4 separate regions of the Mus musculus genome follow, and regions 2, 3 and 4 are each reported to be linked to region 1. Evidence: microRNA targets listed by miRTarBase, many of them from high-throughput screens and not tested one by one. Region 1 holds a microRNA gene; each other region holds the end of a gene's coding sequence.

Region 1 (5,686 bases):
AGACATGCATACAATTCATTCACAAGAAAGAAGAAAAAGAAGTCTGCCTTTGGCTACTTCTCTCATACTTCATATCCAACATCAGAAAATCCAAATTGCTCTACATTTGAAGTACATTCATAACTACATTTCACCACTGTCAGCATCACCACCTCCCCAAGCCTGTCGGACCTCACAATACCTATATTATTTCAGTGGCTTCCTAGTAGGCCTCTGGAACTCTCCTGATTTGCCCAGTCAAAACGAGGGTTATGAAACAATTAAATATCTAAATCCCTAATAACTCTAACTTTGAATTATAAATAAGAACTTAAGCTGAATAATATATTTTATCTATTACTAACAGTATGAGACAAACATTTTGTTAATACTATTGATCATGAAGAAGTTTAAAAACAACTACCAATCCAGATGCAATGAGAACTCTGATGCCCACATAATATATGAACTCTAATACGTTATCTGACTTAAGGAAACAAATGCTTGTTGAAAGCATGTCATATGTCAGAGTGATGATGACAATGAGTAAGAAGCACTGTTGCATCCTTGAAGGCAGAGAAGTTATCAAGTAACTACTAGAGCCAAAGGACTGAAGGCCAACTAAGCTTGACTTTCAGCGACAGGGTCTATATTGGCACAGTACTCACTAAGTGGCCTATGGTAGCCTCAAACTTGCAATGATATTCCTGTCTTCATACCTTAAGTGCAGAGTTACAGACATGTGACACCATATTTGAAGAAGCTCACACTGGCAGAAGATGGAAGATTTGGGCTTCACTGCAGAGAAGAACTGCAATGAGGGAAAAACTAAATACATTTAAATCCCTGTGTTTATCAAAATAGTTTTTGAATGCATATCTTTGCAATAACTCATTTTTAGCCCTGATAAGAGAGTCAAGCATTTACCTTTTCTTTCTTAGGAAAACTGTTATTAGTAGGTAATCAAATAGTAAATGAGGGGAAGTTTTTACTTTACAGAAGTTACCCAGCAATTAACAGGAGGGTGAATAGTGGAATGCCACCATTCTACAACTGCTAATGAAATAATGGCTCTAGGATTTGAGCATCAATGGCAAACTACCGTAACACACAAAGACCTGTATCTCTGAATGGAGGCAGTTCTTTCCTCCCCACAAATTAAGCCTGAATCTAATAAGGCTCTTGGATACAACTCTCAATTAATAGGAAATGCAAATAAAAGGAGCATGGAAGCTACATCAGAGGAATGTGCTCATAAAAACACAAGACTGTGGAAAGCCACGCAGATATATGACCTACTTTCTTCCAACAAATAAGTATGAGGAAAAAGGTAAAGACGGGCTTATAATTCAAAGGCACTTAAAATACTGGCCAATGAAATTAATGCAAGGGTCTTATTTAGATCCTAGTTTATGATACCTCCAAAAGAAATGGAAATTTGAACAATGGATATATGATGTCAAAGAATCGGTAATTATTTCTAAACATGATAATGGCACAATGACTTTTGTTGGATTACAAAAAGAAAACAATCCTTCCTTTTGTGCAGATTCACACTAATCATCAGTGCTCTTCCCTCCATCTGTGACTGAAGCCTTCCACACTTCTGCTGCTGCTTCAATGGCATTGATGCTCTCAGTACACAGCAGCCTTTCCTAAAGGCTCCACTGGAAACTGAAATGCCACCACTTTCCCTACTATTGTCACTCCACGCATTACATACTTGTTTCCCTTGCTTTTTCATTCTCCTGGGCAACAATGACCCACTGCGTGTTTAATCATTTTGTTTACTGCCTTCATCTCCCTAATAGCCCTGATTAGTGCTGTGTACGTGGGTGCATAGGAAAATACTCAAAGTAAAAAAGATAACCAAGCGACATTTGCTGAATAGCCTACCAAACAAATCAGCTGTGAACCCTGGGTCTGGAACAGGATGAGGAAAAAAGTTCCAGCTTTCAAGAGAAAGAGTTTCAGTATCAAACAAAAAAGAACTATCCAAATAAATGTCTTAAAGCTATCATACACTCTCCTGCACAAAGAAATATATATGTGAGAAAGCAGGACACAGTGCGGGTTTTTCCACTCCCTGAAATCTAGTATATATGTGAACAAATGCATCTAAAGAAGTACGTGCAAATTTCCTCATAGCATAAGCTTATGAGAAATAGCTAGATGGCTTTCTTTCCAGCTAACTTGAGAATGAGAGTCCTGAGAAGGCTCTCTCTGCTCCCCTATATACAGGAAAAGCAAGACCAGGACAAAAGACTTCCCTTCTTTCTAAGCAATAACTGTCACCAAAGGTAAGGGTCCATACTCTGTACAAAATACAATACAAAATTAGAAGGTAAGAAGGCTGGAAATATAACTCAGTTGATAAAAGTATGCCTAGAACTCACAGAACCCTGGGTTCCATCCCCAGCACAGCAGAAACCAGGCGTACATTCCTATAATCCTAGCATTCAGGACAAAGAGGCATGAAGATCAGAATTGGAACATCAAGCCAGGCATAGCCACTCCAGTCTTATATCTAGCACTGAGAAGGCAGAGGCAGGCGAATTTCTGAGTTTGAGGCCAGCCTGGTCTACAGAGTGAGTTCCAGGACAGCCAGGGCTATACAGAGAAACCCTGTCTCGAAAAAAAGTGCTCCATCATCATCCTTAGCTATGCAGGGAGTTCAAAGGCAGCATGGGACACATGAGCCCTCCCTGGAGAAAGAAAACTGTGAGATGTGCATGTCAGGTGGAAGACAGGACAGATGGCTGTTTCCTTGGGTATGTGGGGTTTTCTTTATGAAGTTGTGTATGCATATGTCCACCATGCACAAGAGAGCAAGGAAAGCTGAAGCTCACCATCCTGCAAACCCTGCATGTGGGAGGGGTTTTCAGAGAGCTCACCCTCCACCATGCAAGGGATGTGAGAGAGGGAGCAGGGAAGGGTTCACTCTCTTGGCACAACAGGTAGGTACTTTCTATGGAAAAAGCAACAGAAAGCAGCCCAGGGATCACGCAGAAACAACAAACCAGCTACATGAAACTGATGGTGGGTAAGGCAGGAGGAACACACACATGCGGACCAAGAGGGGCATTACAGGCAGGAAAGTCACTTGGAAGAGATAGCGAATGGCAATGCTGTGTGTATATATATACATATATATATATGTATATATATATATATATATGCGCCACACAGAGAGCACATGAGAGAGAGGAGACATGTCTTTGCTGTAGATGTATATGCAGTCATGCCTATGCACAGGAGAGAGAAGAGAAGGCTTGCTCTCCTGCAAGCCTTGGGTGTGGGAGGGTAATTAAGATGTCAACGGTCCTACACTCAAGGCATGGAAGAGAAAAAGCAAATCTGTAGGCGTGCTCTCCTGTGTACAAATCAGCATGCATGTACAACAGTGTGTCTTTGTCTGTGTTGTATGTTGGTCCTGAAAGGTATGATGACTGCCTTAGACATAGCACAATGAAAAGGTGTATTTGTGAACATGCACATATATGCCTTTAGGAGTGTTCACTTCCTATGGACTATTTGTTTTTATACTCTTAATTATTCATTTTATTTATTCACTTTATATTCCACTCACTGCCCCCTCTTCCAGTTGTTTTTAATATTCTTTTCTTTTTATTCCCAATGCCAGTTTATATTTGCTCTTGGTAGAGTATTAAGTTGTGGTAATTTGTTAAGCTCTTCTATGTTTCTTTTTTTTAAATTAGATATTTTCTTTATTTACATTTCAAATGTTATCCCCTTTCCTGGTTTTCCCTCTGAAAACCCCCTTTGCCATCCCCCTCCCCCTGCTCACCAACCCACCCAGTCCCACTCCCCTGCCTTGGTATTCCCCTATACTGGTGCATCGAGCCTTCTCAGGATCAAGGGCCTCTCCTCCCATTGAGGTCCAACAAGGCCATCCTCTGCTACTTATGCAGCTGGATCCATGAGTCCCTCCATGTGTACTCTTTGGTTGGTGGTTTAGTCCCTGGGAGCTCTGGGGCTACTGGTTGGTTCATATTGTTGTTTCTGCTATGGTGGATGCTCTCATCCAACCACTGGATGAGAGCATTCACCTGAACCTCCACATAGCTAACACACTCCCCTCCCACATTCCTGAGCTAAAATTTATTAAATCTATATTTTATCTTTGCTGTCCTGAACCCTTTTGGGCAGCCCTTCTGGGGCCACCTTCCCCTTTGTGTAGTCTCCCCTCCCCCAGCCTGAAACCTTGCTTGCTCAGGGGTGGAGCTTCCCGCTCAATCTTTCTGCCACGCCTACTGCTGGAACCTGCCGCTTTGCTGTTCCGAAGCCATCACGTGATCACCCTGCTACTGGATCCCAAGATTATTTGGCGGGAATTGGGCCCCTTCCCCCTTCCTTTATAACTGAGTGCCAAAATAGTAAAAATTGAACCGTGAGCAGAGAGCTTTGTCTTGGTTCCTTCCTTATCTCGCGCAGCCCAGCCCCTCTTCTCTTCCAGGTTTCCAAAATGCCTTTCCAGGCTAGAACCCAGGTTGTGATCTACTGGCCAGACACAACACCTTTGTACCTACATTTCAGCTGTCTCTCCCTCCTGTACCTTCCCTGCATAGTCTGTCACTTGTGCCCTTGTCATTGTGGAATCCCCTCTTCCTTCTCTGCTGTGCTTCTTGCTGGGGAATCCTGCAAGTCTGGCTTCTGTCTCCCTGCCCAGTCACTGGTCACTGGCAACTTTATTTCCCAATCAGAGCCAACTAGGAGCAGAGACCCTCAGCACAGACATGTGGGCTCCCATATGATTTCAGGAGCCAAATTAACACAAATAACATTAGAACCAATCTGCAACATTAAGTACTTTTCATATACAACTAATTTGTTCCCACAAATATCTATGAAGTAATGATCATGTTCCCTGTCCTACAGATGAAACAATACCAGGTCATACTTAAAGAACAGCTAGAAAGAATGATTATAGGATATAATCTGGGTGTAGCAGTACACCCTCCATAATCTCAGCAATGAGAGGCTGAGGCAGGTGAATAGCAAGTTGGAGACCTGACTGCTTTACATTGTACAATCATGTGATCAAAATAAAAATCAACAAACAAAAAAGAAAGCTGAGAATGTGTAATGTGAGCCATCAGAAAGAAAGCCGGAAAAGTGGGCTTTATCTCCTGATCATATTTGTGTGCTCACACAAAAGGTAGAGCACAAGGCTTTTGAGCCCAGGGAAGAGGTAATGAAAGTGGAAGTACTAGAGGCAATGGGATATTAGCCACTTCTAATGTGTGTTAGATTGGACCTGTTTTAAAAGTACAGCCAACTGCATTTCATAATGCCTTGGACTTAAAGTCTAAAAAAATAAATTTCAAAGATCCTTCCAGAGACTCAACCTACTCAAATGCTCTGTAATCTTGGCTTGAGCACCTAGGGGATGCAGCTGTTGTTACACAACACTGGAAGGGGAGCTGGTCTGTTTGAAAGGCAAGGGAAGAAAACCAGGATTTCGGCTTTGGATGCATTAAAGTTTTAGATGCTTATTAGACACCTGGGGCAGATGTCTAATATACAATTGAATGAAAACATATGGAATTCAGCAACATAAATATGAAAGTAAATACCTACGAAGGAGGTATTTACTTACAAATACAGCTGCAAGACCAGATTAGCTCAAGATTGATGAGAAGTGGAAAAAGTCCAAAGCTTAAACCAGATATGATAGTTAATCTTC
Region 2 (5,686 bases), not on the chromosome of region 1:
TTGGAAAGTAGATTTTAGTTAAAACAAAACAAAACAAACAAACAAAAAACCAAGCCTGACCCGAGACTCTCCTCTCGTCTCCGAGCCACAGGACACCCGAAGCTTCTTGTCTACTATTCCTTTAAATGTGTGGAGATGTTCTTTGTTTCTCTTTTCTTTTTAAAAAGGTCAAACTTTACATCTCGCCCAGTTGGGGATCAGTGATAATCAATTCCCACTGAAATCATGCAGAGATGGTAAGCGGGGTTCACCTTCTCTGGAAATGAACTTCTTACCTGATTGTTTCTTCTACAATGAACTGGTAAATGACCCCCAGAGCTGAGAAATGCGAGCAATTCAGGTGCTCAGACCACTTAACTTTGTTCCCATTTCCATCAGCAGTGGCGAGGGCAAGCTGCAGAAAGAGCTTAACCACTCTATGGGCTTCAGTGAGCAGCGTCCACCCCAGCCTGAGACAACGGGCAGCCACACTTCCCGGCTGGCTTCAGAACAGCACCCTCCAGCTGAACCTGGGAGGAGAGCACAGCCCTGGCACCAACCAGTCTGCAGCAGTGCCCACACTGCCCCCTAATCCTGGGCATCCACGCTAGGCAGATGTCCTCCAGCTCCTAACTTCTTAAAGCAGCATGGAACTGAAGAAGGGCTGGTAGACTTGTGGCCACTAGACCATTTCTTGAAGCAGCTTAGGTCTCTTCATGTCTGACCCGTTTTGCAGCAAAGTCCTTCACTATTAACAGTCAACATAACAGACAAGGGACTCGGCGGGGTTAACCAGACAAGTCTGCAACACGTGGTTGGTTGGGAAAGGAGAAATGCGGCTAACACAGGGAAGGCAATCTGTACACGTGACCTGACCCAGCACGTAATGGCATTCACTAGTGGGACACGTTGGGCAAGGGGTAACTTGCAAACCAGTGAAGTGAAGGTGGTCTATCTGAGGGCCAGTTGTGAAAGGGCCCCACTTCCTGCTCAGGTGAAGGTGGTCTGTCTGTGACCACATGTGATGGGCCCCGTTCTATTTTAAGCAGCTTGTTCAGTTGGTTTTCTTCAACTCAAATGCACGGTTAGGAACAGCATGACAGTCTGACTGCTTGGCTTCCAAGTGAAACCGAGGCTGCACTGTGGCCTAAGTCACCCCTTGGCAGGCCCTGTGCATGCTGTGGGGTAACTAAGTTGGTTTTCAGTTCAAGTACTTCCAGGTTTGGCCATGAGTGTCTGCATCTGGAGCCTACTGGCAGGGGCCCAGTGCAGCCGTGTACACGACCTGCTTAGCTCTGCCCTTGTGGAAGTGCAGCCGCTTATGTCATCACTGACTGCCAGCTAACTGGCTGGGGAAAGTGGACAGCAAATAAGGCTGGGAGAAGGAAAGAAAGAGAAGGCAGCTTTTGCTTATCAGTAAACCCTGTGTGCCAAGCTTCACCCTGATCCCCTCTGGCAGCCTCGCCTTTCTGCAAGCACTCGGCATAAGGACCTGCAGTGGAAGGCTGAGATGCTGACATTTACTGGCCTAACCCAGAATCTGTTTCTCTCCTGACCATCTCTTAGGCTACTATGCTCTTGGTGGGCAGTTACAGGTCCCTGGGTGCTTTCCAGCTCAGTCGAGGAACAAATTCGAGCCACAGAGCAGAGTGCAGTGGTGCCTGGTGCTGGCTATTCCAAGCCTTTGTGCAGGCCAAGCCTCGCCAGTGATTTAAGATGAAGCACAATGCTTTTTATTACACATCTAATTGTTAATGAGAGGAATGCAATCAGCAGCTCCTCTCCACTCTACATGGGACCGAGGAAGACCGCTGAGTCCGAAGCAGACACAGCACTGATGGTGCCCAGGACATTCCTGCCCTTCCCCAGGGCACAGGGAAGGAGAAAGCTGCAAATGTGACTGACCAATGTCATGGTCACAAATCCACTGGTGCCCCAGGTTGGTCACTTGCAGCAAAAGCCTGGGCTGGAAATAAGGACGAACTCAACTCTTGCAAGTGTCACATTGTCTAGGTGATCCGCCTCATGCTAGCTGAGGACTCTCTTTGCACACCTTCTCAGGCTCAAGATGGAGTATGGGAGCAGGGAAGAGGGACAGACACCCAGACAATGGAGGGAGGCAGCAGTGCAGATCTTCCAGTGTGTGTGCGCCTCTCCTCTCTCTCTCTCTCTCTCTCCCCTCCAAGATGTGTAGGCAGCTGTCTCCTCCCACGCAGTGGCTGGGACTGCTCTGGCCAGATGCTGGACACTCCTGCAGTTAACAGGAGGAGGCCAGGCAGTCTCTGCCTGGAAGCTGCAGCCCCTGTCCCCTAGAAGTGGGCCAGGTGGGGAAACTAGTTCTTCTGCTTAACGGCAAAGCAAGAGAGATTCTGGCAAAACACTAAATATATTTATAAGTCATCTTTGTCTGGAACCCAATGGGAGGGAAACAGGTGCAGGGAGGAAGGGGAAGGGAAGGGGAGGGAGGCTTGGAAGTTCCAATCATTCACACAAGATAAAGACATCTTCTGATAGCAGCACTGAGGCAGCCGGTGCCGAGCAGGCCGTCCTGGTCGGCTGCTGACCGACTGTGTCCCAACAGGAGTCTCAAAGCCCTGCTCCTCGCTCATCCGTCCGGGAATCCGGGTAGGAGTTTGATTGTTGTTCATCCTGGTCTTGGCAGGTCTGTTAAATACTGCAACATTAACGAGTCCTGTGTGAAAACACAGCCAACAGTCATCAGCACCTTTCCCCGTACTTTTTACTTGCTTTAAGAAAAGAGAATGTTCAGCCGGGCGTGGTGGCGCACGCCTTTAATCCCGACACTTGGGAGGCAGAGGCAGGCGGATTTCTGACCGTGCTCCTGATCCCTTTGAGGGTGTAGGTGGTGGCTGGAAGTGTAGCCTGGAGATAAAAGCTCTGTCTCCTCTATGTAGAAGTGAGAGCTAATGCCATAGAAACAGAGAAGACAGCCTAAGAAGGGAGCCTAGATGATGATTCAAAAAGACCAAACCAGGCTCTCAGGGCAGTGTCTGTTTCAGCAGCGAGAGGAGGAAACAGATGTAAACAAAGTTAGGAAGAATAATAACGGCAAGGGTTAGGGGCACATTTCTGTGGTTAAACGGGTGTTTAGCATGAACCAGGCCAGGTTCTCAATACCCCAGGGGCCTCCACCCCAACAGCAAAATGCTCTTACATTGGAAAAAAAACCAAACATTGGCAGAAAGAGCAGATAAGTATATGGTGGGTACAGGAGCGTGACCACGGTTACCTTTATAAAAAGATGAGTGACGTCCTAAGAGCTTTGCAAACACTGTCTTCATGCAGACCTGTGAGTGGGCCCTACACTCACTTCCCTCATCAGGGTATGGCAGCTCGTGTGACAGTGTGACTTAGCAACTGTGTCCTCTACGATAGCAGAGAAACTGAGGGAGCCCCCAGATGCCGATCACCCCCTCAGAAAGACAGGTGCAGGGGTGTAGTGAAAGGCACATCTGTGGTAACTACAAGGCAATGGTAGTGTGGGAAACAGGAAGTGACGTGGAGCTAAAGGCTGGTGCTAAGTTCCTAAAGCCAATAACCTAACCTGTCTGAGCCAGTGACCACAGCGGATGCCAACGGCAAACACACTCATACAGAATGCACGGGTACTTTAGGTTTTATTCTGTTTTAGAGAGGTGCTAGAGATGTGGGAAGGGTACTAACTTCAAGTAGCTGCTGGGGCTGAACAAACCAGGTATTCTCCTGTAGAAGTTGCAGAGAAAGTAGAGGCAAGGAAGCCACCTTCTGTTCCCAGCGAGAATGACGTGGCAGCGACGCAGAGCTGTGTGATGTCAGTGGCACACTGCTGCTTGAGCCATTTCCAGTCACGTTGATAAGTTAGCCTGGAAGGGGCTCCCCTGTAGGTACTTCATCTAAGAACTATAAATGCTAGGCTCGGGCTCACTCGTTTTCAAACTGTTCAAATGTCCTTTTACTTTGATAACATTTGTACTGAAGGAACTATAATAACAGAAGAAGAATCCTCTAAACTGGAACTGTACCTTGGGGAGAGTGGTGCTCACTGGGGCAGCCCCTGCCTTATCTCATGCTGTCAGCTCTGCTTTCCTGTTGTACAGGGATGGGTGACACAAATGGTCTGAGAGTGAGATGGCTCTGGGAGTGGGCAGCACCCACAGCCAGTCCTCCATCTCCTAGCACGGGGCTCGTGCATGCTTCTTCTCTCATACCTGGGCAATTATGAGGCCAGTGTTGGGTTATTTATCTGGAGATGTAGGTGTATGTCCGAGAAGGGGAGCGGGGCGGTTCAGCGTGAGCAGCTGGATCATTCAGGAAGTCCCAGATGAGAATTGTGTCATCATGTGAACTACTGACAATCTGGAATTCATCAAACTGGAGGCGGAAAACTCTTCCAGAATGCTCCTAAAGAGGCAGAGACAAAAAGAGTTAAGACTTTGAACTCAAAATCAAAAGCCTCTTTGTTTGAAGGAGCCTACAGAGAGGCTCAGGTATGCTCTTTCACTGTTCATCACAGACAGGAAGCAGTTCACTATCGTTAGGATGCAAAGCATCGTTAGGATGCAAAGCTCAAATATTGGGCAACAACTGATCTCAGCAACACAGGGACCACGCTTATTACCGAGGCAAAAAGGCAGTGAGGATGCTGGCTTGTCAACACTGCCTTCTGGGCTGGAGGAGAAAGCTCCTTAGTACCTCCCTGGTCTTGTCTCCCTTCGAGTTCCTTTGACTGACCATCAGGAGTTAAGGGGTGATCCGCAGTAAGTAGTGACATGCCGGAAATGTGTGCTGACAACCTTCCTAGATCTGGAGAGATGGCTCAGCAGCTAAGAGCACTGGCTAGAGGCCCCAGGTTTGATTCCTAGCACCCACATGGTAGCCTACAACCATCTGTAACTACAGTTCCAGGGGGACTTGACATCATCTGGCCTCTGAGGACAATGAACTGCACAGATAGACATGCAGGCAAAACATCCATGGACATAAAATAAAAGCAAACCTTAGAGGAAAAAGAAACTTCCTTAATGTGAAGAACTATTTATAGATTCTCATGATTCACAAAGTCCTACCATGGCCAATCTGGAGCTACCCACATATGGTCAACAACTTGCCAAATTCTTTGTTGTTGTTGTTTTTTCTTTTCTCGAGATAGGATTTCTTTGAATAACAGCCCTGGCTGTTCTGAAACTTGCTTTGTAGACCAGACTGGTCTCAAACTCAGAAATATGCCTGCATCTGCTTCCTGAGTGCCAGGATTAGAGATGCGCCACCATGCCTAGCAACTTGGAAAATTTTAATGGTTGGCTGTTCTGGGGTCAGAGCCTAATTTTGCACATGAGGGAGTGAACACTGCCTAAATCAGGTGCAGACTACATCTAACTTCCTGGAAAGGACTTTCAACCCTGCCAGTCAGTGTCTGCTGCACCCCAATGTCATCACTGATCTTTACCTGCCCTCGAATTCATAGAAACACACACATGCTGCATACATTTGCTTGTGCAAGCTTACTTTTTTAAAGATTTATGTATTTTATGTTATTTATTTATTTTATGTATATGAGTACACTGTTGCTCTCTTCAGACACAGATGCCAGAAGAGGGCATCAGATCCCATTACATGTGGTTGTGAGCCACCATGTGGTTGCTGGGATTTGAACTCAGGACCTCTGGAAGAGCACTCTTAACTGCTGAGCCATCTTTCCAGCCCCGTG
Region 3 (5,686 bases), not on the chromosome of region 1:
GACGTTGGAGTAGGGAGATCTGAGGAGTGAGTGTGTGTGTGTGTGTGTGTGTGTGTGTGTGTGTGCATGCGCATGTGTCACGGCTGGTACCGCCAATGGAAACACATGGATACATGGCTGCCTTTTAGTGTTGAGCTTTCTGCTTTGCAGAGCACTTGTTGTGAACTCCCCTTGCCTTTCACTGTAAATGATGTGACCAGGGGGATGGGCGTGGTGGTGGGGGGGAGGTCCTATGGAGTCAACCCAGCAAATTGCTGTCTAAATTCGGAGACACTGAGATTAGATTTCAAAGCTGATGGAGGACAATGAAAAAACCAAGTCCCTTCCAATTATTCTGGTTTTTACTGGAAGAGCCGCCGAGTCCCAGGGCTTGTCCATTTTGGGTAATGTTTCAAACGGACAGGAGAGTGAACCCAAGACCGAGTGAGTGGGTTCTCTACTGGAGAAAGAAACACCATAGTCACAGCGGATGGTGTGTGTTTAGCAGGACTTGCTTGTGTGTGGCATGACTGATAGCAAGCTACTGCCACCGGCCTGTACATCAGTAGTGAAAGGGGGGGATGCACACTTGTCCTAGGGCTGTCTGCAAACCTCCCAGGACTAGACACGATCAGATCTGCCCTGCTCAAGAACGCGAAGGACCTAAACACCAGAGCACCTAAGAGGCTCTTGGTGCTGGTGGCATCTGGGACCCGACCTGGGAATGCTGGAACAGCCACTGGGGTGGTGGGTGATGCAATCCCCACGTGCACTCTATAGGCCAGAGCAGTAGATCCGTCTGTGACGCATGTGCAGACTGGAGCGGGGTGATCTCAGTACAGAGAGGGGGTGGGAGGGGAAAAGAGCCACTCGAGGTTTCAGTAATTCAATAATTTATTCCTCTAAAAAAGTGTGTAAAAGTATATAGCTCTCATCCACAAGGTATATATGAATGACATTTAAAATGGAGACCTTTGCCATTGATTCTCTTTTATCAAAGTCTTTAGTGTATTGAACCAGCACTGGGCTGTGGTTCTTAAATGAACGTCACATAGGTTTTGTATTTCTTTCCAATTGTCTGCTAGATATAAAAGAAGCGCACTGCAAAATGCTTGAAGGTAAAAGGAAACAAAAAGAAAAAAAAAAAGAAAAAGAAAATCAGAACTTCCCAAAAATGTACAGCTTTTACATTTTAAAAAAAAGGCTCTTGAGAGATACATACAGGCATGCCGGACCAGCCCTCCCGCCTCCCCTCCCGCCTCCCTTTTCAAACCATGGTAGGAGTTCTGATTTCTGCAGTTTTCTCAAAATAAAAAATAAAAAAAAAATAAAATAAAATAACTTCTCACTCTGTAGCAAATCCAGGGCTTGTACATTTCAGATTAATTCTGTAAAAAACTCACAGGTAAAATAATGCATATTTAGGGGAAATATTATACAGACTTTTGCACACAGAAGTACATAATAAGATTTCTTTAAATCTATTGCCATTCATTTATTTTTTGCACAAAAACGTATAAATATGTCACCAGCTTTTCTTAACTTAAAAAACTTAAATAAAAGACACCAGATGGAAACTACCCTTTGCTGCCTTCTTTTAAAACTTTTTATAGCTTTTTTTTCTGGTTTTTTTTGTGTTTTTTTTTTCCTTTTCACTTTTTCTGCGTAGAGTTGGGTTTCTAGGGAAGAAAAGCCCCTGCAGTAAAAACAGCCCATTTAAAAAAGAGAGAGAGAGAGAGAAATTCAAAGTTCTGGTGAACTCTGAGAGGAAGCAATCCCAAGTGGTAAAGATTACAAATATCTAGTTTACAGCCCGTCCTCCCCGAGGTGACTTTATACAAGTTTACATCTCCGTCATCTTACGCTCTTCAAAAGGCCTTGAGGATTTCCTCGCTGATAAGAAAAAATAGCACTGCGATATTTTAAGTCAATTTTACACTGTACACGTTAGATACAAACGGTTTGATATATCAGATTTTTTAAGCTATACATTGGAAAGCAACCCCCCCAGTTGGTGAGACAGAGAACAGTCACCCATGTACAAGTTATTTCTCTGCTTTCACATCCCCACCACATGTTAATATAATGTTTTAAACGTTAGATTATCTCAAGAAAAATACTTTTACAAAACCATATCAATTATTACATTTTTTTCCTTTTCTTTGTTAATAACCAGGACATGAAAGTCTCTTGGAAGAACTTAGTTTGCATGACTCTCCCACGGGAGCCGGGCTCAGTGCCGGGCCTGTCAGGAGGCTCTGGGAAGCCGGTCTACACCCACCACCCACAGACAGAAACATACGACATAAGGGCTAGAAACAGGGTTTCAAAGTCAACCCTAAGGTCTGGGACAGGGAGTCAAGAATACTTCAATCAGCTGCGAATGCTTTAAAAAGGCTTTTTTTTTTTTTTTTAAAGTCCCACATAGAGGCTCAGCTTCAAGTACTGATGTAACGGTTGAGTTGCACTATTTCTTTGAAACAATATTCCTATGGTCCAGAAAAAATTCACTGTGTTTGTAACTGGTTTCGTGAGCAAACACTTTGGTTGTGATATGTACACGAGTCCCTTTTGATCTAATGAAAGGAGAGACCTGGCTTTCTGTAAGAATTCTCTAGAAAAGGTATTTCCATGTGACTGTATAGAGAAGTGATGAAGGTCCTTGCCTCCAGCTCGGGGCTGAGCCTGACCATCTTCATATAGGGGTGCAACCTACACAGGCTGCAGCCACAGACTGTCTGACCGAGTCTACCACTAGGTGGCCTCCCCGCTTCTTCTCACTCCTTTCTTGGCTTCTAGGACAGAGGTATGTACTCAGAGAATCCTACGGTGGGTCTCAGTGGGCTTCAGCTACTGTACCTGGTCCTCAAGATTAGAAAAAACAAAGTCGCAAAAAAACTTACAACAAAATGAAAAATAAATAAACAGAATGCAGCTGTCCCCAGACCTCCTGTGTCTACACAGGTGTGCCATCAACTAAAACCCTCCTGACAGGCGGGGGAGGCAGAGGCCCCAGCACTAGATCCTGTCCTGGAGCTGGCTCTTAGTTGTGACACATCCCAGGTTATGAAGTATGGGAGACCCCCAGGCATCCACCATTGGCTAGAGGATTGCATTCAGAGGGCTGGACAGCCTGGTACTAAACAGAGGCTGAGAGCAGGCTCTTGTGCAAAAGGACGGTGTCTCTTCTCCTTGCCTCTTCAGCCACCAACAGCCGCCACTTCCCGGGGACTGCAGGCTGCACATATCACACATTGGCTCAAGTCACTGCTTATGGAAATTTCCAGGTCCTCGTGAGACACGTCAAGAAGTCACTGTGGCAATGAACACTGCAGGAGGAGCATGAGCCTGCTCAGAAGGCGTCACAGTGCGGGGTATAGGGAGTGCTCTAAAAAAGGCCGGGCATTTGCAGAGTGGAGCAGGCTCCCTGGCCAAGGCTGCAGGAGGAGCTGAGGCAGAGGGCAAGCGCTTCCCTTCCCGGTTAGAGCATGTTCATGATGGCATTGTACAGCTGCGTGAGCACCACGAAGTGGACGGGAAGGCAGGAAGTGCGGTCCTGGGTGGCTGGATTGCACGTGAGCCAGGATAGGGCGTTGTACTGCTCCAGCACAAACCTGCCAGGGAGAGCACAGAGGTCAGCTTCTGGGCCACAGGCTTGGGGTGTGTGGGGCCCACGTGGCCCACCCTGCGTCCCTGCACACCAGCATGGCCACCTCAGGGCCTCCAGGATCAGGAAGCCACTGAATGAAAACTGTTTCATGTTGGCTAGATGCCAAAATGAGAATATACTGATCATATTGAATTGTTCAGAATGTAATACTTTACTGACACTCGGCTTTCCAAGTTTCTCCATGTTATTCTGATGTGGTCACTGGAAAAAAATCAACAGGGATGGACAGGGCCTTGCTCTCTATGGCAGGTTAGCCTGATACTTTTGACCACAGCCTTAGTTGTCTGCCTGGGTGTGCATGGGTATCCTAGGTGTGCATGGTTGTACTTAACTTGCACAAGACCCTTGCTCTCTGTTCCATCAGAGACCCTGGGGGCCAAGTTGCTAGTGAGGCACCTGTCCATCGCCCATTTCCAAACCACAGTACATCAGAGAGCACCCAGAAAGGCTCAGCTCTCAAGGCACAGGATAGCTTCTGTCTGCTTGTTGTTTTGAAGATCCAGTCTTGGGTCTGGGGCAATATCTCAGCTAGTGACAGAAAGGCTGAGTGTGTGCCCCAGAACCCGTGTAAAGCAGTGAGCAACAGTGCACACTATAATCCAATAGCAGGAGGAGGGAAGGGGAGAGGAGGTGGACACAGGCCAATCTCAGGAGCACGGTGAGAGACAGGAAGAGACTGGCTGGCATCTGGCACGTGCATCCACATGCACACACATGCACATCCACACAGTGTCTCCGGAGCTCAGGCTGGACTCTGGGCTTGAACTCAGTAAGTAAGTAAGGATGACTTTCAACTCCTGGTTCTTTAGCCTTCTCTTTCAAGTTCTGGGATTACAGGCATGCACCATTAAATTTTATGCCCTGATGAAAACAGTGAAACAGAGTCCGTGCATCTGAGGTGCATTCCATAACAAAGAATTAGTGCTCTAGTCAATCGAACATACTTATCTGTGGCAGAGAAGGTCAAACTGAGTTTTCCATGCAGAGCCACTCCCAGGCTCTGCTCCCTAACCTTTGTTCTTCTGCCCAGGGCTGACACCTGCATCACCTCTTTGGAATAGGAAATGAAGTGTCCCTGCACCTCCTGTGTGGTGAACTGAGTGCACACACTGTGTGTCCCTGCACCGTGGGGAGAAGTGGACTCTGCTGCTCTGCACAAGCAGCAGTGTCTCTGAGCACCACCCTGTCCTGCACTCCTCAGGGGCAAGGAGGAAGGAGCGCCACTTTCCCACTCAGTCAGAGCTACCTTAGAACGTCAGATGTGGTCTTGGAGTCCAGAGGGTGTGGAGCCCGCTGAGAGGTCCTGGCAGGAAGGAGCTCATCGGTCTGCGCTACAGAGATGTGGTGATGCAGGGAAGCCTGGGGAAAGACCCGAGAACTTTGTTTCTTTCCAGGTGCAGAGCAGCACAGTGGAGAATGAGCGCGGCCCCAGCCCAGGCTCCGGCTCCTCAGTCATGCAGAGGCAGGCTGCTGTGTGCCTGAGTCCCAACTGCTGAGTCATCTCCTGGGACACACTACTGTCCTAGAGGTAAGCTCAACACTAGTTTCAGGGGCCTCTCTTTCTGGTCTAACCGACTTCATTTTGCTTCTTGAGAAAACAAGCTGACTGGTGTGTGTGCACTCAACAGCACACACGTGAGGTCAGAAGACAGCCTGGCGCACTGATCCCTGCCACCAGACGCACCCGGCCGGGGCTTGGGGGCTCTCTGACTGACTGGGCCATCTCACCAGCATACCTTGCTTCTAACACAACAGTCGAGCACATGAAACAGCAGTTCCTATGTAGTGCTGTATGCCCTGCCACCAAAGCTGGGACAGTGGCCACTATTTGTCACTTTCTTTTCAGTATTTTACCTTTGAAATATTTTAAAACAAACCAAATACTCTATCATTTCTCTTGTAAATTTAGGAAGTAATGCTTACAGATGAGAACCTTTAAGAACTGTATCGCGCGCGCACACTGAATGTGATTCCTTTGTATCAGCTAATGGGCTATATAGTCAAGTCTCTCTGATGTTCTCAAAACTTTCTCTTCCG
Region 4 (5,686 bases), not on the chromosome of region 1:
GTCACGCCCACCATCACCACCTTGCTGGACGAGAAGGTGCAGTCTGTGCCACTGGCAGCCACCACATTCACGTCTCCCTCCAATACGCCCGCGAGTGTCTCCCCGAAGCTGGCGGTGGAGATCAAAAAGGAAGTGGACAAGGAGAAAGCAGTCCCGGATGAGAAACCCAAGGAGAGAGAGAAGCCCAGTGAAGAGGAGGAGAAGTATGATATTTCTTCCAAGTACCACTATTTGACTGAAAACGACCTAGAAGAGAGCCCTAAAGGTGGACTAGATATCCTCAAATCCCTTGAGAACACAGTAACGTCTGCCATCAACAAGGCTCAGAATGGCACTCCCAGCTGGGGCGGCTATCCCAGCATCCACGCTGCCTACCAGCTCCCCAACATGATGAAGTTGTCCCTGGGTTCCTCGGGGAAGAGCACGCCCCTGAAACCCATGTTTGGCAACAGCGAAATCGTGTCTCCCACAAAAACCCAGACCCTGGTCTCTCCACCCAGCAGCCAGACCTCTCCCATGCCCAAGACAAACTTTCACGCCATGGAGGAACTGGTGAAAAAAGTCACGGAGAAAGTTGCCAAAGTTGAGGAGAAAATGAAAGAGCCAGAAGGCAAGCTCTCGCCACCCAAGCGGGCCACGCCGTCCCCGTGCAGCAGCGAGCAGAGCGAACCCATCAAGATGGAGGCCTCCAGCGACGGCAGCTTCAAAAGTCAGGAGAATAGCCCCAGCCCACCAAGAGATGCGTGCAAGGAGGCGAGCCCCTCCGCAGAGCCCGTAGAGAATGGCAAGGAGCTGGTGAAGCCCCTGAGCGGAGGTCTCAGCGGCAGCACAGCCATTATCACGGACCACCCACCAGAACAGCCTTTTGTGAACCCCCTGAGTGCCCTGCAGTCGGTCATGAACATCCACCTGGGCAAGGCCGCCAAGCCCTCGCTGCCTGCGCTGGACCCCATGAGCATGCTTTTCAAGATGAGCAACAGTCTGGCCGAGAAGGCAGCTGTGGCCACCCCACCACCCCTTCAGGCCAAGAAGGCGGAGCATCTGGACCGCTATTTCTACCACGTCAACAATGACCAGCCCATAGACTTGACAAAAGGGAAGAGCGACAAAGGTTGCTCTTTAGGTTCAGGGCTTTTGTCCCCCACGTCCACATCCCCGGCAACTTCCTCATCCACGGTGACAACGGCAAAGACATCTGCCGTCGTATCATTCATGTCAAACTCGCCGCTGCGTGAGAATGCCTTGTCAGATATATCCGATATGTTGAAGAACTTGACAGAGAGCCACACGTCAAAATCCTCCACTCCTTCCAGCATCTCTGAGAAGTCTGACATTGACGGGGCCACCCTGGAAGAGGCCGAGGAGTCGACTCCGGCGCAGAAGAGGAAAGGCCGCCAGTCAAACTGGAATCCTCAGCACCTGCTAATCCTGCAGGCGCAGTTTGCAGCTAGCCTGCGGCAGACTTCAGAAGGGAAGTACATCATGTCCGATCTGAGCCCCCAGGAGCGCATGCACATCTCCAGGTTCACCGGTCTCTCCATGACCACCATCAGCCATTGGCTGGCCAATGTGAAGTACCAACTTCGAAGGACAGGTGGAACAAAGTTCCTCAAAAACTTGGACACTGGACACCCAGTGTTCTTTTGTAACGACTGTGCGTCACAAATCAGGACTCCTTCCACGTACATCAGCCACCTAGAGTCACATCTGGGCTTCCGGCTACGGGACTTATCAAAATTGTCCACCGAACAGATTAACAATCAAATAGCACAAACCAAGTCGCCGTCTGAAAAACTGGTGACATCCTCCCCGGAGGAGGATCTGGGGACCACCTACCAGTGCAAACTTTGTAATCGGACCTTTGCGAGCAAGCATGCTGTTAAACTTCACCTTAGCAAAACCCACGGGAAATCACCGGAAGACCACCTCCTGTTCGTTTCTGAATTGGAGAAGCAGTAGCGTTTGCTCCAGAGCGGAAATGACTGGAGGAGAAAATGCTGAAGGCACCTTAAAGCCCCTCTCTGTCTTGTTCTTGGCACACGTTCTTATGTTCACTGCAGAGGATTGTTCTGGGCTGGACTGTTCGGTCTAACTGTACAGTGTTTAATAGAGAGGTGCATATAATCAGCTGTTGTTACTGGTAAAATAACGAAGGTTAAAACGCAGTGCTAAGTGTTTGGAACTTTGTGTAAATGGGATTTAATTGTGAGCATCCCCTCGATGCTTCAAGCTGCATGCATTAACAGACGGTTTAATTAAGCATTTATAAGGAAACCAGGCACACTTTTTCCATGAGACTTGGGTGTGCTGGCATTTCCCACCCTTTCATCTTTAGCCCTCTGAGTACTACGAAGCACTTTTGCATTAATTTGGTTAATAAAAAAAAGATAATAATAAAACAAAATAATAATGAATAATAATAATGTATGAAACTCTGTTTTTAAAACTCGTTACCAGCTTAGTTATAAGGAATATTAGGAACCTCCATTTATGCAGGGGTATGACACGCCTTGAAATTTAAAAGAATATTATTTTCACATTGAAACATAGATGTATATATTGTATAGATTTCAAACTCTTATGGGAAAATGTGACTGGTTAAATGACCCTTTCTTTCTTGCATTTATAACAAGTGTTTTATGTATCTGCTATACTCTGGGCACAAGCCATGCCTCTGTATAGTGTATATTTCCTTATCTTTTTCTTTTTTTTTAAGGTTTATGGTTTTTTTTTTACATGCAAACATTGTAAATTATACAGAAAATACCACAGATAGCATTTATAAAATATACAGAAGCATTATCTCAAAGCAAGGTATGATGTTTGTTTTGCTATACGGCACATCTATATTGATAGAGGGTTCATGTTTAAATTATACATATTTATTAGCATTCTATTATCATTTGTTTTGAGGTCAGGAAATCCATCCCTGGCAGGCATCATAACTATTTTGCACATGGTTCTTAAAGGTATTTATTAGAAATTAAAGGATGCTCAAAGTAAACTCAGTGCTCAAAGGGTTAAGTCTATTCGAAAAGGAAAAAAAAAGATTAAAAAAAAAAACCCAACTTGTACTGTATTTCCTGAACATTGATAAAGCCTTTAAAATGTTTGTACTGTAATCCTTTGCTTAAAAGTCAAGAGTCGTTCTGTGGGACAGCCCCTTCACTTATTTATAAGCCCTCTCGGTTGCTAGTTCATAATGTGGGATTTTTTTCCCTTTCTCTTTTTTCTTTTCTTTTCTTTCTTTCTTTCTTTTTTTTTTTTTTTAATTTCAATCGGTAACTTTGTTTTGTTCCTCCTAATTATTCTCCCAAGATCCCACACTGCAGTTTTATCTTTAGGCTTATGAAAGGTAACCCGTGGTAACCGGCTCTCCAAGCCATTCTTGTCTCCATTTCTGGCAGTTAATTTGCAGAAATAACTGACAGCTGACACCATATGAGAACCTATGTATAAAATATTGGCATGTAAACACCACAGACACCGTGACACACTCTGTGCCCTGTTTTGTTGTTGACGATGGCACACCATGATGTGACTCTTCATATAACCCTTTTTTTCTACGGCAGCATTAAAATTGTCTTTTTGCTATAATTTTGTGTTGCGTTCACAATTATGTCTGAGATGTGCTACGACTAACGAGCACATTAAAATTAAATTGTATGCGATCTGTTTATGACTGACTCGGTTGCTGTGTCTGCCAGGTGCTGGCAGTTGGAGGCTGCGCGTAAATCAGGGGGAGTTTTAGTGAACTTTGGTGTTTATAAAGAACTCTCGGAGGCTTGTATAGCATTTCCCTCAGGAATAAAAATTGGAAAGACATCAGAGATGCACATGAGGCTAAACCCCTGTGGGCAAGGAATGTCGTAATAAAGTCTCCACTGTCAGAGCCTCAGTCAGGTCACGCTGGATACCTCTCCTGGGTGGCTCTGGTGTCCTTTCTGGATGCCCCATAGTGTTCCTGGGCTGAAGGGTCTTAAGAAGACTCTGTACATAATGGCTCATTCTTGCTAACTTAAGATTTTCCAAGGGGAAAGTAGAGAGGACCCACGTATTCAGACTTAGGGGTCATCTGTTCTTCCCAAGTTAAAGCAAGCAGAGACAACCAGGTTGGGTAGGGATTGGGAGGAGTTCGGACCCATCCATGGCAGGGGTGGGGGGTAGGTAGGGGGAAGGGGAGAGGAGTAGGAAGGAAGCATTTATATGATAATCACAAGCTTTTATTGGCCCTGGCAAATCACTCCAACAAAATGCTGAGAACATCATGTAGAACTGTAAAATACCTTTATTACTATATTGAAGCTAGTCTTGCAGTTAGGCAGAACCAGAGCTCCTAACCTAGAATTATACAAATGAGAGATGCGATACACCCATGTAATACATAAAACACCTCAACTTGAAGGAAGAAAAGATACTCTTTTATTAAAAATTTAAATTAAGCCCTTTCAAAAATGTTCGGCAACACGCCTACGGGTTTTTCCCTCTCCCCACCCCTTTTTGTCAAGACAAGTCCAAATGTGCCATCTACTCTGTTTTCTTAGCAATCCCCCCCTCCCTCTCTCTGGTTTTGGAAAGAACTCTGCTGGAGTTTAAAATGGGTGTCTGGCAGGTAGTGACACAGGGACTCTACTCCAGCCTTGTGACTTGGGGCACACAGGTAAGGCACAGCCTCAGGATTGTCGGCCTCTGGGTCCAAGGTCTGCCCTGCTCTCTGCCTCCAGTGTGATCAACCCATGTCTTTCTCTCTAAGGCCCTCTACCCGGAGGAAGCTGAGGGTTGTTATATTCTACCAGGATACCTGCTACCGTCCTAGAACCTGGCTCAGGAGACAGAGACCCCCCCTCCCCGCTGTGCTTTCTGCATCTTTGCATCCTGAAGCCCAGATTTCCACTCTTGAATTTTTCACAGGTTAAATATAGCATCGGTTTATTAGAATCCAAAGTCCTGCATCTAACAGATTAAACTGACAACACTCTCGTCATCACCAGGGCCCATGTGGCTTGAAGGGAGAGGGGATTTGTGTGAGTGATGGTGGAGCCCCCCTCTTCACAGTTGAGAAGGACCCAACACTCTGAGAAATCCTCCTCCCCCTCCCCCAGGATTATTATCAGGGCTGTTCAATTTGGGGGGAGACATGGAGATTGATAGCCAAGGTGGGTAGTGAGTTACACACTCAGTTGTGCCTTGGACTCAGCCTGCTGGTACTAATGGAAACCCTAAATTAATTCTACCCCCAGGGAAGTATTAGTAAGGAGAGCTATTGAATGCAAACCTCTTTGTAAAAGAGAGTCTTCTTAGCATTGGGAAGTGGACCACTTTCCTCTAAACCACTAAACCCTCGCCTTGCAACAGGGTAGGCAATATGCAAGAATACTACCAGATCATAGCCCGTTAGGGCCCCAAATCAAGAAGGACCATCCAGAGGAAATACCAAGTCTACTGTTGACCACTTAGTCTATGGCTGATGTGAACAGAGAAGGAGAGTAAATGGTGAGATTGGTGTCCAAGGAGGCCTGCAAATGGCTCTTGGAGGGATGGTGGATTCACAGAGGGAGGGGGCTTTAATCACAGGTGCGCAGGTGACCCTGACCTCAACCACCGCCCACGCTCAGTCTCACTGAGGTCCTATGGTATATCTTCCAGCCATCACATTTACGCAGTATCTTAAAATAACATTTGTGAT

Evidence for each region. The annotated mature microRNA mmu-miR-188-3p reads CUCCCACAUGCAGGGUUUGCA and lies in region 1 at 2,834-2,854, opposite strand. An mRNA with a match to its seed (bases 2 to 7 or 8) in the 3' UTR can be bound and repressed. Matches are read on the target gene's strand: a 7mer-m8 pairs with bases 2 to 8, a 7mer-A1 pairs with bases 2 to 7 and ends in A, and an 8mer does both.
Region 2: the mRNA of Btrc is a reported target of mmu-miR-188-3p. Seed matches in the 3' UTR shown: 7mer-A1 at 212-218.
Region 3: miRTarBase lists Med13l as a target of mmu-miR-188-3p. Seed matches in the 3' UTR shown: 7mer-m8 at 2,398-2,404.
Region 4: the mRNA of Tshz3 is a reported target of mmu-miR-188-3p. Seed matches in the 3' UTR shown: 7mer-m8 at 3,151-3,157 and 7mer-m8 at 3,204-3,210.

The regions. Positions count from the first base shown.
Region 1 is chrX:7,245,159-7,250,844 of GRCm38, forward strand. It overlaps Mir188 (microRNA 188), which reads right to left and starts at 2,898; the gene lies at 2,831-2,898. The region is part of intron 2 of Clcn5 (chloride channel, voltage-sensitive 5); the gene reads right to left. It overlaps Mir532 (microRNA 532), which reads right to left and starts at 3,339; the gene lies at 3,244-3,339.
Region 2 is chr19:45,525,958-45,531,643 of GRCm38, reverse strand. It overlaps Btrc (beta-transducin repeat containing protein), which reads right to left. Exons shown (of 15, transcript NM_001037758.2): 14 at 4,188-4,380; 15 at 1-2,671. The coding sequence ends at 4,219. Among named protein-coding and RNA genes, the nearest start is that of Gm19639, 15 kb to the left of the region's middle.
Region 3 is chr5:118,760,608-118,766,293 of GRCm38, reverse strand. Med13l (mediator complex subunit 13-like) reads right to left here. Exons shown (of 31, transcript NM_172424.4): 30 at 4,896-5,008; 31 at 856-3,593. The coding sequence ends at 3,461. Among named protein-coding and RNA genes, the nearest start is that of Gm42015, 80 kb to the left of the region's middle.
Region 4 is chr7:36,769,875-36,775,560 of GRCm38, forward strand. Tshz3 (teashirt zinc finger family member 3) reads left to right here. Exons shown (of 2, transcript NM_172298.3): 2 at 1-3,679. The coding sequence ends at 1,959. Among named protein-coding and RNA genes, the nearest start is that of Gm36722, 74 kb to the left of the region's middle.